Linked DNA regions of Saccharomyces cerevisiae S288C. The protein of the gene in region 3 interacts with the protein of the main gene of each other region in a biochemical or structural test. Each region holds a gene or a part of one and is shown on either strand. Other genes may lie near its edges.

Region 1 (4,222 bases), on a different chromosome or scaffold from region 3:
AAATACTATGATCCCAAAAATCCTAACGACCTCTCTGACGAATTGAAATATGGTAAAGAGGCGCAAGATTTAAGAAGCAGATTAGCCGCTGAACTGAGAGCCCATGTTGCTGAAATTAGAAATGAAGTTCGCAAATTACCACGCGAAGACCCTAGGTTCAAATCCCCCTCATGGTGGAAGCGGTTCAACACCACGGAAGGTAAATCGGACCCAGATGTTAAAGTCATTGGCGAAAATTGGGCAATAAGGAGGATGCAAAAGTTTCTGCCTCCAGAGGGTAAACCAAAGGGTAAGGATGATTGAAATTTAAGCAATTAAATTCGTGTAAATACTAGCATGTATGAGGTCATTTTTACATAACAAATATTCATTACTTACTTTGCTTTTTATCTGTGCGCATTAAAATGAGTTTCATATATAATATAGTTACATGTGATGAATGTATGGACAGTCTCTGTCATTTGTCAAAGGAGTGAAAAAGACCAGAAAAGGCCTTGACCTCATTTTCTACTAACCAATCTGGTAGAATTCACTTTAGACGCAAATCTTAACGAATTGAGAGTCTCATTAATATGAGAGGAGCTTGGTGAAATGTTTACAAACATTAATGTTTTCGAATCCCCAGTGAGTGAATATTGCAGTAGGTATGTCAGTTTTGAGTTCCTGAACGGTATATGTCTTTTGGTACTATCAGGCTGACCTAAAGCATGAATAACGTCACCTAAGCAACTTAAAGATTTATTTATATTTTGTGTTTCTCTTAATCTATCCCCTACAACTTGAGAGACATTTATTCTTTCGGAACCGGCCAAATCAACAAGATTTAGTGTGCCATACGAGTGTGCTCCAGTTTTTGCATTTGATCCAGACAAATGAATTATGAAAATACTGTGTGAACGGGAGGAATGCTCATTTGATGCTGTGCTAGCGGTGGATCTTAATTTATTTGCTTTTTTCAGGATTATTTCCACCATTTCTTCCGACTCAAGCTTGCAACTCGTAACATTCGTTATCGTGGTAGTCTTAGTTTCCTGATCATGACGTATTTCGTGCTTTAAGCCAATGCTTGTGTCTTCTTTATTATTATTATCACTTCTCAATAAGTCTACGATGTTCTCGTTGTAGATCTCAATGAATTCGCAGTTAACTTTATAATCCCATCCTTTTGTCTTTAATTTATTGATCCAGTTAAATATATGAGATATTGTGGACGGAATGATACCATCACCTGGATTTAACATCGTGAAAGTTTTCCCAGATCCTGTTTGTCCGTATGCGAAGATACAAACATTATATCCATCTAATGAACTTTGCACTAACTGACCAACTTCTTTAAAAACATCCACATTTGTATCCTGTTGATCAAATATTTTATCAAATTTGAATTCATGCACTTGCGCTGTGTTTTGTATTTTCGTCACTTCCATAGATTGAACACCACTATTGTCATCAAATTCATTAACATTAATAAGGCTAGTATCAGAATTTTCCAAATTTTTTAGAGCTGGACGAATCCTACAATAAACTCGTATATTTCCTCTTAACTCTTGTAACTCATTATGCAATGTGCGTCTAACCGTTTCCTCTTTAATCAGAATTTCATTCAACTCCTTCATACCCAGTTCAGTGTCTTTTATATATTCCTCAAGTTCTTTGATCTTTTCCAAAGTTTCTAAATTAGTTTTCTGTTTTAATGCCACCTCATCTCTCAGCCTTGTAGTTTCCTCTTCCTTTTCTTTAACTTTTACTTTGATAGCTTCATACGCGTTACGCTTTTCTGTTAAGAGCTTCTTTTTTTCTGCCAACTCAGGTTTTAATGTATTTTCGATTTCCTTTTTTATGCTTTCGATTTCTTGCATATGTTTATTATTCAGCTCTATATCCTTTTTCCACTGCGATTGGTACTCTGTAAGCCATTCTTCTTTTTCAAGCATATGCTTTTGTTCAACATCGTTCAACATTTCCTGTAAAGTGGAAGGGTTCATGGTGATTTTATTTCTTACCTCTTCTATTTTATCTAAAAGCGACGCTCTTTCATTTTCAAACTGTTTAATCTTCATAAATTTCAATTTCTCAATTTTTGTTTTGTATTCATTTTCCATTTGTTTCAGCTCTTTTTTATTAGATGCCGCTAGCTGCTTTAAATGTATTTCATGTCCTTCATTCATGAACTGCTTCTTTGACAAAAATTCTTCTTTAATCGAGATAAGTTCATTGTTTTTCAAATTCAGTTGCTGTTCAATTTTTATCTTTTCTTCACGAAGGGTTTCAAATTTGAGATTAACGGCATTGATTTTCTCTTTCGTTTCTGTTAGTTCATCTTTGAGTAAATCTAGTGTTGCCTTTTTCTCAAATAAGATTGCTTGTGTTCTATTGAGTTCATTAACATTTTCTTTATAAAAGGAAGTTACACCGGAGTTGCTTTTCTGGTTTCCATAAATCAAATTTGCTGTACCTTTATAATTCTTTAAAAGCTCGCGATTAGGTGACATGGATATGCGACTCTGACTAGCTAATGAGTGTCTATGAATATCCGTACGTTGCGGCTTCAGAAGAGTGTGCTTAGGCGGTGGAGTTGTTGTATTTCTTCTTTTGTGGCCATTCATAGCTAAAATATCATTCTTCGGCGATGGTGTCGAGAGATGCTGCGTAGATCTGCCTTTTGTGGGAGTACGTGGAAGTGATTCCATAGTTTAATAGTTGCCAGAATTTCTCTAAGTCCTTTATTTCAAAATCTACCTTTTTTAAACAAAGACTCCGGATAGTTGTTCTGGTATATTCAAATAGAATAATAAGAAACACAAAGAGCGGAAAAATTGATAGCTTTAATGCTTATATAATATTCGATAATTTTTTTAGCTGTAATACTCATCATCATATTTTGATTCGAGGCGCATCAAATTGTAAACAGTGTTTGTTTTGATTTTGTTTGAGATTCATTTTGGTGTATCTCCATTACCCTCTTATTGGAAAATTTTGAAAGAAAAAAATCTAGGATTCGATGCCCATAAGATATAAGGAAAGGTAATAAACAGATGCTATGAATAAAGCGATAGAGAAGCCGAAGGAAAATCAGTACATAATTGATCATGGGCTCCAAGCACAGAGTAGACACTAAGGATAAGAAAAGAACCAGAAAGAATGCAGAATTTGGGCGTGAAAAAAGGAATAGTGGCAACCAAGAGTTAAGTAATGAGCCGGAAAAAGATACAATAATGGAAGGTGATGAAGCCGAAGAAGACGAGCAGAATAGCTCTAGCGATGAATCATCTAAAATTATAGATAACGAACAAAGTGATGCTGAAGAAGATGATGATGAAGAAGAAGAGGACGACGACTTCCCAAGAAAGAAAAAATCGAAAAACAGCAAACATGATGATGGTTCTACTGGATTTTCTGCTGCAGTAAATGCTATTTTATCATCACATCTGAAAGCATACGACAGGAAGGACCCCATCATGGCTAGAAACAAAAAGGTGCTGAAGCAAAGTGAGTCAGAAAAGCTAGAATACAAGGCCAAAAAAGCATTGTTGGCAGAAAAAAAAAAGTTATTAGGTAAAGCCAGAAAGACGGATATTATTCCAATTGCTTCCGGAGAAGACAGGTCAGAAAATATTAGAAAAGTCCTTGAGAAGGAGACAGCGCTCAGAAAGATAGCTCAAAAAGGTGCCGTGAAATTATTTAACGCCATTTTAGCAACTCAAGTCAAGACAGAAAAGGAAGTATCCGAAAATTTAAGCGAAATTAAGAATAAAGAAGAAAAGAAAGAATTGATCACTGAAGTTTCCAAAGAAAAATTTTTGGATTTAGTTAAAGCTGCCGCAGGAAGCGACAATGAATAATCAACATGTTCATGTCAAAAGAAGAAAAAAAATAAAGAAATAAAAACTGTATATTATTTAGTCTATGTCAAGCGAGAAAGGGGCCCTATATCTTCCCTCCTCCTTGCAATTGAATTTTGTTTGCATTCTATATTATCATATAGTTTCATATCAATTGCAAAAACTTTTGCAGCCAATGTTACAAAATTGTTTTCAATCAAAGAAATACAGGTGTGGTGTCCTTCACCATCGATATATTAATATTAATATATCATGAATAAATATAAAAATTCAAGGTAATGTACTTGTGCACTTCTTTTAGAATATAGCAATTTCCCTTAGCTCTTTTTCAAATTGTAATTCTCTACAATACATAAAAAGAAATTGATCTTTGGTTCAAC
Region 2 (3,395 bases), on a different chromosome or scaffold from region 3:
TGAACAGAGAAGAAACTCCGTTGTTCAAGAAGGCAATGATTTCATCATCGCTGAATTTACCACTTGGCAAGGACAAAGCCACCAATGGAACTTCTTCCTCTTTGGAGAACTGGAGAATCTCTTCATTACTCAGGCTCGAGCCATCCAAAAGTACCTGACCAACAAGTGAAACGTATTCCTTCTTACTATTCCATGAGGCCAGATCATCAATTAACGGTAGAATCGGCAAAACCATTATTCAGAAAAAAAATTTTGTAAACTATTGTATTACTATTACACAGCGCAGTTGTGCTATGATATTTTTATGTATGTACAACACACATCGGAGGTGAATATAACGTTCCATATCTATTATATACACAGTATACTACTGTTCATAGTCATATCCTTTTCTTACCTTCTATATCGAATGACTGATAAAAAAACGTGAGTCACTGTGCATGGGTTTAGCAATTAATTAACTAATTTACCGGAGTCACTATTAGAGTCAGTTCGACTGCCTAGAAGAACTGCTGGTTGTCAGGATTGTGATGGGGGCATTCTGCTGTATTATGACCCATCGTATCGCAATGCTCACACCACTGTTGTCTTCCTGCCGTGGTATCGACTGGTGCAGGGGGGTCGAAAATTGGCAACGATTCCACGGCTGTTTGTGCTTGAGCCTGTTCCAACTGTTTGATTTTTTCATTAGCCTCTTCAAGTTTTTTCGTTAAGGATGCCACCTCTTCCGATGAGGAATCTTGTGGTTTTGTCAAAAATAGTTCCTTGCTCAAATTTTGGTATTCTTTACTGAGCGAATCGTTATGCATTTTCAATTGTTCGCGTTCTTTAGCCCACTTTGTCTTGTGTAACTCAAATTGGTCTTCTATGTTGCGTAATTGTTCCAGCTGTTTTTTCAGGAGTTCGACATCTTCGTTGGCACCAGTGGGTTGATTATGAGAAAGATTTCTCTCTTCGTTTTCTTTGATCTCTTCGTGTAGTTGGCTTACGACAGCAAGTAGCTGTTCATTCTCAGCGTCAAAAAACTGCTTTTGTTTGGCTTGCTGTCTGCGTTCGAGCTCCAATTGTTGCTTGAGATGGTCTATCTCTTTCTCTCTTTCTTGTATTGTGGCTTCATACCTATCAAAAGTCGGTTGCACTTCTTCGAGGACCATTCTTTGGTCATCGAGTAGCCTTTTGTAGTGTAGTTGTTTCCTTTGTAGCTTTTCGATGGTCAATTGGGCTTCTCGTAATTCAATTGTAACTTCGCTGCTATTGAGGTCATTCATGTGGCCATTGTCCGGTTTCCAATCGCTGGTGGTGTTGTGATTAGCCTTTCTGTCTGATGACAGGATAGAGTCGACCTCCATTCTGTCTTCTCTGTTATCGTAACCAAATTCTTGCTGTTGATGGTGATCCGATGCCTCCTGGTCCATCGACTGTTGATTACCGCTGTGCCGACTGGTGATCCGGAAACTTCTCATGGGTGTGGGGGATTTAGGATCATCCATGGGAGAGAACTGGTTAGTGAGCCTCACAATAGATCTGTTTTTGGGTATTGATAGCGGTTCCATTGTCGTTCTTCTCGAGGTTTGCGATATCGATGCCTTCTCGATCAATGATGCGACTTTTTGCAACTGAATAAATAGTCCACTTTGAGGATACTCCGTTTGAAAATACTTCTTCCCCATGAATGATCCATCGTTCTTACCAATGTTGGCAAGTAAGTCTACACCAGCAAACATTCCAGCTTTCGTGTCCACTGGACCCACGTATTTCAGTTGTCCGCGCCCCAAATTTGGGATTTGTATGAAACATCCTATCTTTCTTTGATATCTATCCATGGTATTTCAAACGCATACACAGCCAGCCACAGCTCAACGCCTTTTACCTTGTCCTTTGATGCCTGTCTCGTCCAAACGTTTTTGGTGTCTTGGCCAATTGCCCTTCTGAAAAATCTCACTGTCCGCAACTCATTAAAAGATACCCAAGCAAGCTACACGATAAAGAAAGGAGAAAGTTCATTAAAAGAACGTACATATAGCGATACAAACGTATAGCAAAGATCTGAAATGGATACGGATAAGTTAATCTCAGAGGCTGAGTCTCATTTTTCTCAAGGAAACCATGCAGAAGCTGTTGCGAAGTTGACATCCGCAGCTCAGTCGAACCCCAATGACGAGCAAATGTCAACTATTGAATCATTAATTCAAAAAATCGCAGGATACGTCATGGACAACCGTAGTGGTGGTAGTGACGCCTCGCAAGATCGTGCTGCTGGTGGTGGTTCATCTTTTATGAACACTTTAATGGCAGACTCTAAGGGTTCTTCCCAAACGCAACTAGGAAAACTAGCTTTGTTAGCCACAGTGATGACACACTCATCAAATAAAGGTTCTTCTAACAGAGGGTTTGACGTAGGGACTGTCATGTCAATGCTAAGTGGTTCTGGCGGCGGGAGCCAAAGTATGGGTGCTTCCGGCCTGGCTGCCTTGGCTTCTCAATTCTTTAAGTCAGGTAACAATTCCCAAGGTCAGGGACAAGGTCAAGGTCAAGGTCAAGGTCAAGGACAAGGTCAAGGTCAAGGTTCTTTTACTGCTTTGGCGTCTTTGGCTTCATCTTTCATGAATTCCAACAACAATAATCAGCAAGGTCAAAATCAAAGCTCCGGTGGTTCCTCCTTTGGAGCACTGGCTTCTATGGCAAGCTCTTTTATGCATTCCAATAATAATCAGAACTCCAACAATAGTCAACAGGGCTATAACCAATCCTATCAAAACGGTAACCAAAATAGTCAAGGTTACAATAATCAACAGTACCAAGGTGGCAACGGTGGTTACCAACAACAACAGGGACAATCTGGTGGTGCTTTTTCCTCATTGGCCTCCATGGCTCAATCTTACTTAGGTGGTGGACAAACTCAATCCAACCAACAGCAATACAATCAACAAGGCCAAAACAACCAGCAGCAATACCAGCAACAAGGCCAAAACTATCAGCATCAACAACAGGGTCAGCAGCAGCAACAAGGCCACTCCAGTTCATTCTCAGCTTTGGCTTCCATGGCAAGTTCCTACCTGGGCAATAACTCCAATTCAAATTCGAGTTATGGGGGCCAGCAACAGGCTAATGAGTATGGTAGACCGCAACAGAATGGTCAACAGCAATCCAATGAGTACGGAAGACCGCAATACGGCGGAAACCAGAACTCCAATGGACAGCACGAATCCTTCAATTTTTCTGGCAACTTTTCTCAACAGAACAATAACGGCAACCAGAACCGCTACTGAACGATGATTCAGTTCGCCTTCTATCCTTTGTTTACGTATTTGTTTATATATATAACTTTATTTTTTTTTATTAATTGGGCTGCAAGACAATTTTGTTGTCAGTGATGCCTCAATCCTTCTTTTGCT
Region 3 (8,638 bases):
TTGGGTTTGATTAGGTAGACTGCTTACGCTTATGGCACTGTCACAAGCACTTTCGTTTTTAAACTGATTAAAAGTGTACATGTGAGGGGTGATCGGCGATGAATGGTCAATGTTGGTAGTACTGAAAACACTGTTGTCTGATTGTGCACTGAAGTTTCGCATTGGAGTATAATTGGTTCCCGAAGAATATGTGCTTGGAGAAGAAACTGATGATGAAGAGGCATTTTGGTCAAAGTAACGAGAATTGACAGCAATTTTTCTGGTTAGGTCTATTGTAGAGGCCAGTTGCAGTTTCTTTTGTAATTCCAAGTTATAATCTTTTACTTGTAATATGAAAGGTACTATACCATATTGCTCCTTATAAACTTCGACTAAAGATGGGGGAGAATTGACTATGCCATTGATGATAATGCTGAATACCTGCGTTTGAGTGTTTGAGTTTATATCATTACCAATGGGCATAGAGAGAAAAGGGCCTTGATCTTGATTAGTGAATTTGTTTATTATAGAAAACATACCATTGCATATTTCGTATAATTCGAATTTAAGCAAGTTGTATTGCCAACAGCTCAGATCAATTAAGAATCTTTTCAAATTTATCAATTTAATTTTGGAATTTAGTTCTTCATCTTCATCCATGGTAGTTGTATCGCCATCTAGTCCAGTACTTTGCGGTGAACTACTGATATGTTCTTCCACTGTGGCATCACTGTCGTCAGAAGATTGTGACTTTCTCTTACAGGACCATTCTTTGCCGTTGCTATTGTTATTTTGTAACTGGTTTTTGTAAAGTTCATATTGTATCAAACAATTTTCGTCAACGTTTAAAATGTAGTCATTAATCATGGGCTCATAAACGTCCCAGTTCAGAGTATCCAAGATATGTCTTTCCATTTGAATGAACATTGATTCATCGAATAAATCGGACCCGCCGCAATAATGAACCAATTCAGAAAGGCGTGGAATACGAGCTCTAGGATTGGGACCATAAAACCTACCACCTGTGGGGATGGAGACGTTGTTTATAATATGGTTGCACCCTCCCCAAGTTTTGGCCGCTAACCAAAGGCAGGTGCCTACAACTAGTTTAGCTTGGTCCTTTAACACTACTCTCTTAGAGCAATAGCGATCGTAGAACCTGACAGCGTGGAAGAAGATACCATTACTTACTCTAGTCATCACTGAAAGTTGATACAAAAATGTTACTATGGCTTCTCTAGTTTGATGAGGATTCATCTCCGGTTGCTGATCGATCAATTTTATGTCTGGTTTTGTCTTGGAAGATTGGACCAGCACATTTTGAGAGATTTCCTCGTGATATTCCTGTATGGTTTCGTAATGAGTTAGTAGTTCTGCATTGGACAATTCAATTGGGTAATATGTCTGCTTTGCAGTGACAATTAACCCAGTTTTCACTTCTGAGTGGTTCATGATCTTTTTATTTATTTTACAGAAATAGCTAACGAGCAGTGGAGTGGTGGTAGTGCTATTTTATTTAATTGCTATTATTGTTATCGTCGTTAAAATGTATTGTCAGCAAAATTACACTAATTTCTTCTATCCTGGGGAGATGGGATGAATAAATTGACAATAACCAGGAAATAAATTAAAGCGAACGAAGAACTCCTTGGCCAATTTGCTCTTAAGTGTGCATTCAACTAAGAAACTATTGAAGATAAGCATTACCAATTCCAAAATATATTCTTATATAAAAAGAGATACTAAGAAAATATCGAGAGATTAATTGCTGCACTCGCACCGGTACCACTTGGCGCAGGAAAACTGCGGTTTCCACAGGGGACCCACGCTGCCTTTACTCCATTCTCAATCTTGCCTTCTGCAGTATCTTTTTTTTTAATTTTCGAGTCTTCGTCACTTTCGAGTTAGTCTCCCTCCCAGCCTCGACCTGGCACCATTCAGCTCAATCCAGCAAAATCGCCAAAAATGCGTCTCCGATGCTTTCAAGGTTGGAAACTAACTAACGCGGTGCGAGATTCCCTCGAAGAAGTAAAATCGCGAATTCTTCCTTGAACGCGTCTCTTGCAGGCTGAACAAAGAAGTCGCTAGTGGATCGTCACAGAATGAACACGCCCACGAGCGGGATCTGGCTCGAGTTGTCATGAATACTGAAAGTATCAGGCGCGGGGTTGTAGTAGGTAAAGAATTTCTCCAAGAGGTTGTAGGAATGGACTTGTTTACCCCTTTACGCGCGGTGTTTTCGTGGCTTTACCGCATTGGGGTATGTCCCAGAAGAGAGTGTGCGCTATTCGATTTCCTATCAGTGAAGTGTTGCGAACAAGGGAATGCTGTCGAATTAGGAAAACAAAAGTTTATTCATGCAAATTTTGTGGCACGCTACCCTAAGTTCTCGATGATGTTTGGCTGCGTTTAAGTGAGTAATTTACATCCGCCTGTTAGTCCCGTAACATTCTCTTTTATTTTGCTAGGATAATTAGGTTGATGCCACGCACGACAATGTAGCTACGTAAGTTTTTTATGTAAGGGAACGAGACGAAGTGATTGTAGCGCACAAGATCTGGCCTTCTTAATCTAGCTGAGGTAATGTTATTGTTCTTTTCAGCTTTCCCGCTAAGGCTAGAGCCTTCTCGATGTTTTCACCAGCGTTAATCTTGAAGACAAAGCACTGCTTTGTTTTAGTGAGAATATGCGAAAGGACTGAGGGAGCATCATCAAGCTCTCTATTCAGCTGTACCGTGGACATACTACCGATATATATATTCATTGAATGGGACTCTTCATCTTTTCCCAACTTGGTATCTAAAGTTAAAATGTTCATGCATTCTTCATCTTGTGACAGATCTCTAATTTCTGTTGGGTTATCTAATCCAACGTCACTGTGTTTAATACTTCCGTCAAGATGCAAAATGTTCAATGTCATCTTATAATTCTCACCGTACTGCTCAATTAACTGTTTTAGCAAAGTCTTTTTCATTGGTGCTGTGGGTTGCTGCGAAACCACTATAATGCTGCAGTTAATTAACTTGCTGATGTATTTTTCCAGGAACGGAATGCATTCGTTATATAAGCGTTTGTGATCCTTATGGATTTCTTCGAGAACTACTCTATCAAATACTTGTACCCGTTTTTCTCCACTATTCTCGCAAATGCACCGATCCACATAGTTGATATGGAATTCATCAGGCATTTGTCGTTCATTGGCATACGCAAAGCATCGGGTGTATCCTTTGATTTCTTCAATTGAAGTGGCCAGATTTTGTCGTGTGTATAATTCCTGTTGAACCTTTTCTAGTTCATTAACGTACTTCTTCTTCCAATTGTTTGCTTCTCCTTCGACTTGCTTCTTCTCCTCCTGCACTTGCGTCAATGCTTGTGATGTAGAAGCAAGCTTCTTTTTGAGAGGAACAACGGCAAGTTCCATGCTATGGAAGTTCACTTCTGCCTCTCCAATCCTTTTTTCAAAATCGTTAAACTCATCTCTACACGTCTTAATATTTTCTTTCAGTTCACCATGGGTGTCTTGTAGGTCTTTTAAAACTTTCGAAAGTCTTTCTTGCTCCCCATCTAATTCAATTCTAGCATCGTTCTTAACTTTCTTGAATATCTCGAATTTCTTGTCCAATTCTTTTTTGTAGTTTTTACACTCGTTCTCATTTTCATTCTGTAGAATGAATAGTTTCCTATTGACCTCCTCGAATTCTGTTTTAAGCTGTCGCATTTCGTCAGTTAACCTTTCGTCAGGTTTCAAATTTTCTACTTCCATTAATTTATACGTCCACTCCCTTTTGGCATTCGATAGCTCTTCCTCTAAATCGTTTTCGAACTCTTGTACTTTTACTGCATGCATAGACACTATATTTTTTGATGATAGCTCAACATTCTTTCTTTGAAGATCACATTGATTATCCTTCAAGTCCATCTCCGTTGATAGTCCATCAATCTCATTTTGTAGCTCCCTGCACGCTTTGACTTTTGCATCTAATTCTAATGTTATTGCAGGTAGTTCCCTGGCATGAATACGAACAGATTCCTTTTCAATTTCAGAAATAGCATTCAGTAGTGAATCTATGTCTTTTCTAACCTTACGTTCATTGTTCTTAACCCTTTCAATAATCTTGGGGTCCCCCCCAAAGGTTAGTTTCTTAGTATACGTAGCGGAGGTGTCATCAGTGTAGCAGCGCCGTATACCAGATCCAGAGCTGTGCAATATATTTAGCTTGTTGTTATTAGGAGTTAGTATCATATCCATTTCTCTTTTCTGAACCTTCTGTCGTTTTGTCTTTGGAAAGTCTCGAGTGACGTTGTTTGGATCACTATGAAAGGAAAGTTTAGGAATTTTGGAGTTATTCATCCTAATAATAAAGCTTATGTCAACGAGTTTCAAATGCCAAAACAAATATTAAAATAGTGAATAGCTCTTATATATACACGGTCCAACCCTATGGCACAAAATTCACTTATTTAGGCGCTTAATTATAATGTCGTAGTTGTGTTTCAAAGTTGCTTCAGCCAAACGGAAAAGCCGCCTAAATGTGTCGATCAGTGAATGAGCTCAATAACGTGTGGATATCAAAAAATAATACAGTAAAGCCTTATTCTCGGACGATATGCTCAATGGTCAACGACTGACTAGTTTTATTTTGATACGAGCTACGACAGTGGTATCTTTCATATACTAGAATCATATTAGAGAGTAAATAAGAACAAAAATGGTAAACAAACAAATATCACTATGGACGATATTACTGATCACATGACTGTCTAATTTTCAATGAAAGTTAGGAGTGGAGTAGTCGTGCTATATAGGGCAATTACTATTCTTGGAAAAGTGTAAAGCTTTACATTAAGTTGTATAAAACGAATCAACCGCACTCTTTACATTGCTGCATGGCTTACTATGAGTTCCCTATTAATATCATACGAATCTGACTTCAAAACAACCTTAGAACAAGCCAAAGCGAGCTTAGCAGAGGCCCCCTCACAACCGTTATCACAGAGAAATACTACACTGAAGCACGTAGAACAGCAACAAGATGAGTTGTTTGACCTGCTAGATCAGATGGATGTAGAAGTTAATAACAGCATAGGCGATGCCTCAGAACGTGCTACGTACAAGGCGAAGTTAAGAGAATGGAAGAAGACTATACAGAGCGATATCAAACGACCACTGCAATCCTTAGTAGACTCAGGCGATCGTGATAGACTTTTTGGAGATCTTAACGCATCTAATATTGACGATGACCAAAGGCAACAGTTGTTGAGCAACCATGCAATCTTACAGAAATCGGGAGATAGACTAAAAGATGCCAGTAGAATAGCAAATGAAACTGAAGGAATAGGGTCACAAATAATGATGGATTTAAGGTCACAGAGAGAAACTTTGGAAAATGCAAGACAGACCTTGTTTCAAGCGGATTCATATGTGGATAAAAGTATAAAGACACTAAAAACAATGACTAGAAGGCTAGTTGCTAATAAATTCATAAGCTATGCCATTATCGCAGTCCTTATATTATTGATTTTGCTAGTTTTGTTCTCAAAGTTTAAATAAGGTGGGAAAACAAATTCAATAAAAAACCTCTAGAATCTAAAGAACATGTCAAGGAACTATAGAGTTACCTTCACTAGTAATATCAACGCTACCTTACTGATAAAAAACTACTGCAATTAAATATTCTATAGATCAAAATATAGAGGTATATCGTTGGAAATATTTTTCAAACGTACAGATATTGAAGGTTCACCGCAGTTAATCAAGACACATCCTTATTCAACGGACTCATTGGGTCCATTGGGTCTATATCCTCATCTTTAGCCTTGTCAGTTACTTTCATATTTTTCACCTTATCTTTTAGCTTGCCTATAAGCTTGGTTTCAAAGTTGTGACGATCTTCAGGTACCACAGTTTCGTGAATACCTTCCTCTTCATTCATTTCCTCCATCAAATGTCTAGCCTTGTCACTTGAAATGCTGCTTTGTGGTGTCAACCCAGAATGGGTGCCCCCTATCCTATGATGGCGCTTTTCTTCTTCGGTTAAGTCCAAAATGGTGGCAGTGTAGTTTACCAAAGACTTTGCACTCTTACGTCTTGCCATTCTCTTCATTTTGGGACCTTGCTCAGAGCTCTCTGTTGAAGCGGTCGTTGCCACAGATGATCTTGGCGTACGAGGTAGTCTTACACAGGATATACCTACATCACTTATCCATTTGGCCACAAGAGCAGTCCAACCACATTGGTGTGAAGCGCCAAGCCCTCTTCCAGTATCACCGTCAAAGTATTCAAAAAATGGCACATAATCCCTGAAATATGGATCAGAAGACAGAAACTTAGAGTGATCACCATAATGAATGGCGCGCTCCCCGTTTTCGTCTGGAACAAATAAGTGAATCATACGATATCCAAGTTCTTCGGCAACTTCAGCAAGATTCAAATAATCTCCTGAACCTACGGGACACTCTACTTTGAAGTCGGAACCGTAGTACAGGTAAAACCTTTGTAATGCTTCCATTATTAAAAAGCTGGTAGGAAACCAAATGGGCCCTCTCCAGTTAGAATTACCGCCGAACATACCCGAGTCTGATTCGCCCGGCAAATATTTGACCATATATTCGACACCATTTACATTCATTTCGAATGGGTGCTTCTCATGATATTTGGAAAGAGATCTAATACCATATGGTGACAAAAACTCAGTTTCATCCAGCAAACGTGACAGTATGGCTGTTAATCTTTCCTTAGTAACTAGGGATAAAAGTAGTCTTTCTCCCACTCCTTTTTTTGACATGGACGCAATGTTTCTATCAAAGATTTCTGGACGGTTGTTCACAAACCAATCAACCCTCTTCTTGAAACCGCGGAATTGTTTTATGATACTAGGCTCTAAAGTCATAGAAGCATATAGTGGGATCAATCCCACGAGAGATCTTATTGGTAGTTGCACCTTGTGGTCACCCCAAGAGATGGCATCGTAATAAAATTTGTCTGCTTCATTCCATAGGTTTTGTTTGATAACTTCTTTACATTTCTCTCCCGTAATATCAGTAGCGTATTCAAAGGACATAGAGTCACTGATTAAGATAAAATGTTCAAAAAATTTAGAGGCAATATCTTCATAAACCGGGTTTTCTTTGGCGAGCTCTAATGCAATATTTAGCATTTGAAGGCTGAAAAAGGCCATCCAACCTGTAGAATCAGCCTGTTCAAGCGTACCGCCAGTGGGTAGTGGTTCTGATCTGTTGAAAACGCCAATATTATCAAGACCCAAAAATCCGCCCTCAAAAACATTTTTACCTTCAGTATCCTTTCTGTTGACCCACCATGTAAAATTTAACAAAAGCTTCTGGAAAACTCGTTCTAAAAATGTACGATCTTCACGGTTGTACATGTTTCTTTCGATCTTGAAAACACGATACACAGCCCATGCATGGACTGGTGGATTTACGTCATTGAAGTTCCATTCGTATGCCGGAATTTGACCGTTAGGATGCATGTACCACTCTCTGGTTAATAAATCCAATTGCCGTTTTGCAAATTCTGGATCAATCATAGCTAAAGGAATGCAGTGAAACGCAGTATCCCATGAAGCAAAAAATGGATACTCCCATTTGTCGGGCATTGATAAGATATCTTCGATGTAAAGGTGCTTCCAGTTCTTGTTCCTGCCATTAGCTCTATTAGGGGGAGGGCGAGGCTTAACATTGGCGTCACCATTATACCAAGCATCATATGTAAAATTGTAGAACTGTTTAGTCCATAGCAAACCAGAAAAAGCTTGTCTTTGAAGGTTTCTTAATTCATCACTGATTGGCAAAGGTGTAATCCTCCAGTAGAAGTTATCAGCTTCCTCCTCTCTGTTATCGAAAATCAAATCAAACTCATCTTCATCTACGACAGCCAGGTTTTGTGCCTTAAAGATAGAGTTTTTTGGGTCATTTGTAAATTTGTATCTCACAGTAACATACTCTCCGGGCGGAATATTTTTGAAGTGATATACTGCGCAGGCCTTTGTTCCTTTATTTTCAGGATTTACAGCATCGGTTTTGCCTTGAACAAGATATTCTTCAAAAGCATCCTTTGTGTACTCGGAAGGATTCTTTTCTTCGTTAAATAGTTTTACTAAATTGGACTCATTATCGGTAAATAGCAGCAGAGGATCTATATCTTCTACCTCTTTATCTTCCTCTTCCTCGTTTGTACCGGAAGAGAACCCACCTGGAGATGGCTGAAAGACCATTTGGCAATTACCATATTTCTTGTGAGTCATATTGATTAAGTTCGCTGCTTCTGCATCTCTTTCAAGCAAGGGCTTGTCCTTTGTTCTAGTACCGTCAAAAGCCCAAGTATTTCTGAAGAAAAGTTGGGGAGCTATGTAGAGCTCACCAGAGTCGATTTTACTTCGATTATGTATAGTTAGCCGAAAGTTCAGTTCACTAGGGTTTTCGTCATCCTTTGCCATTTCAAAAAAAACATCGAAATAAGGGTTGTCACCGGTTTCACTATCACGGTATAGCCCATCTATATCGTAAACTTCGAATTCTTTATCCTCGTATCCCCTTTCACCATTCTTTTGCACCAATTCTTTGTATGGAAAGGCCTTTTTAAAGGGATACTTGTATAAAGCTTTCATATATGAATGAGTGGGAGTATTGTCCAGGTAAA

Evidence for each region. The genes of interacting proteins can lie anywhere in the genome.
Region 1: the proteins of CIK1 (region 3) and KAR3 form a complex in vitro, tested with the Saccharomyces cerevisiae proteins (5 studies listed by BioGRID, with this or other methods).
Region 2: the proteins of CIK1 (region 3) and BIK1 form a complex in vitro, tested with the Saccharomyces cerevisiae proteins (one study listed by BioGRID).

Annotation. Positions count from the first base shown.
Region 1 is NC_001148.4:815,234-819,455, forward strand, and holds KAR3 (Kar3p), read right to left. Parts: upstream 2,691-4,222; coding exon 501-2,690; downstream 1-500. Other genes in the region: TAZ1 (lysophosphatidylcholine acyltransferase), read left to right, coding at 1-303; rRNA-processing protein RRP15, read left to right, coding at 3,090-3,842. UniProt on the Saccharomyces cerevisiae protein: Minus end-directed microtubule (MT) motor involved in spindle midzone assembly, poleward transport of newly captured kinetochores along the lateral side of MTs, karyogamy (nuclear fusion) during mating, and with an essential function in meiosis I.
Region 2 is NC_001135.5:68,099-71,493, forward strand, and holds BIK1 (Bik1p), read right to left. Parts: upstream 1,824-3,395; coding exon 501-1,823; downstream 1-500. Other genes in the region: HIS4 (trifunctional histidinol dehydrogenase/phosphoribosyl-AMP cyclohydrolase/phosphoribosyl-ATP diphosphatase), read right to left, coding at 1-235; prion domain-containing protein RNQ1, read left to right, coding at 2,052-3,269. UniProt on the Saccharomyces cerevisiae protein: Required for nuclear fusion, chromosome disjunction, and nuclear segregation during mitosis. Probably required for the formation or stabilization of microtubules during mitosis and for spindle pole body fusion during conjugation.
Region 3 is NC_001145.3:655,437-664,074, reverse strand, and holds CIK1 (Cik1p), read right to left. Parts: upstream 4,331-8,638; coding exon 2,546-4,330; downstream 1-2,545. Other genes in the region: cyclin CLN1, read right to left, coding at 1-1,431; v-SNARE protein VTI1, read left to right, coding at 4,877-5,530; YMR196W (uncharacterized protein), read right to left, coding at 5,733-8,638. UniProt on the Saccharomyces cerevisiae protein: Together with the minus end-directed microtubule motor KAR3, involved in spindle midzone assembly, karyogamy (nuclear fusion) during mating, and with an essential function in meiosis I.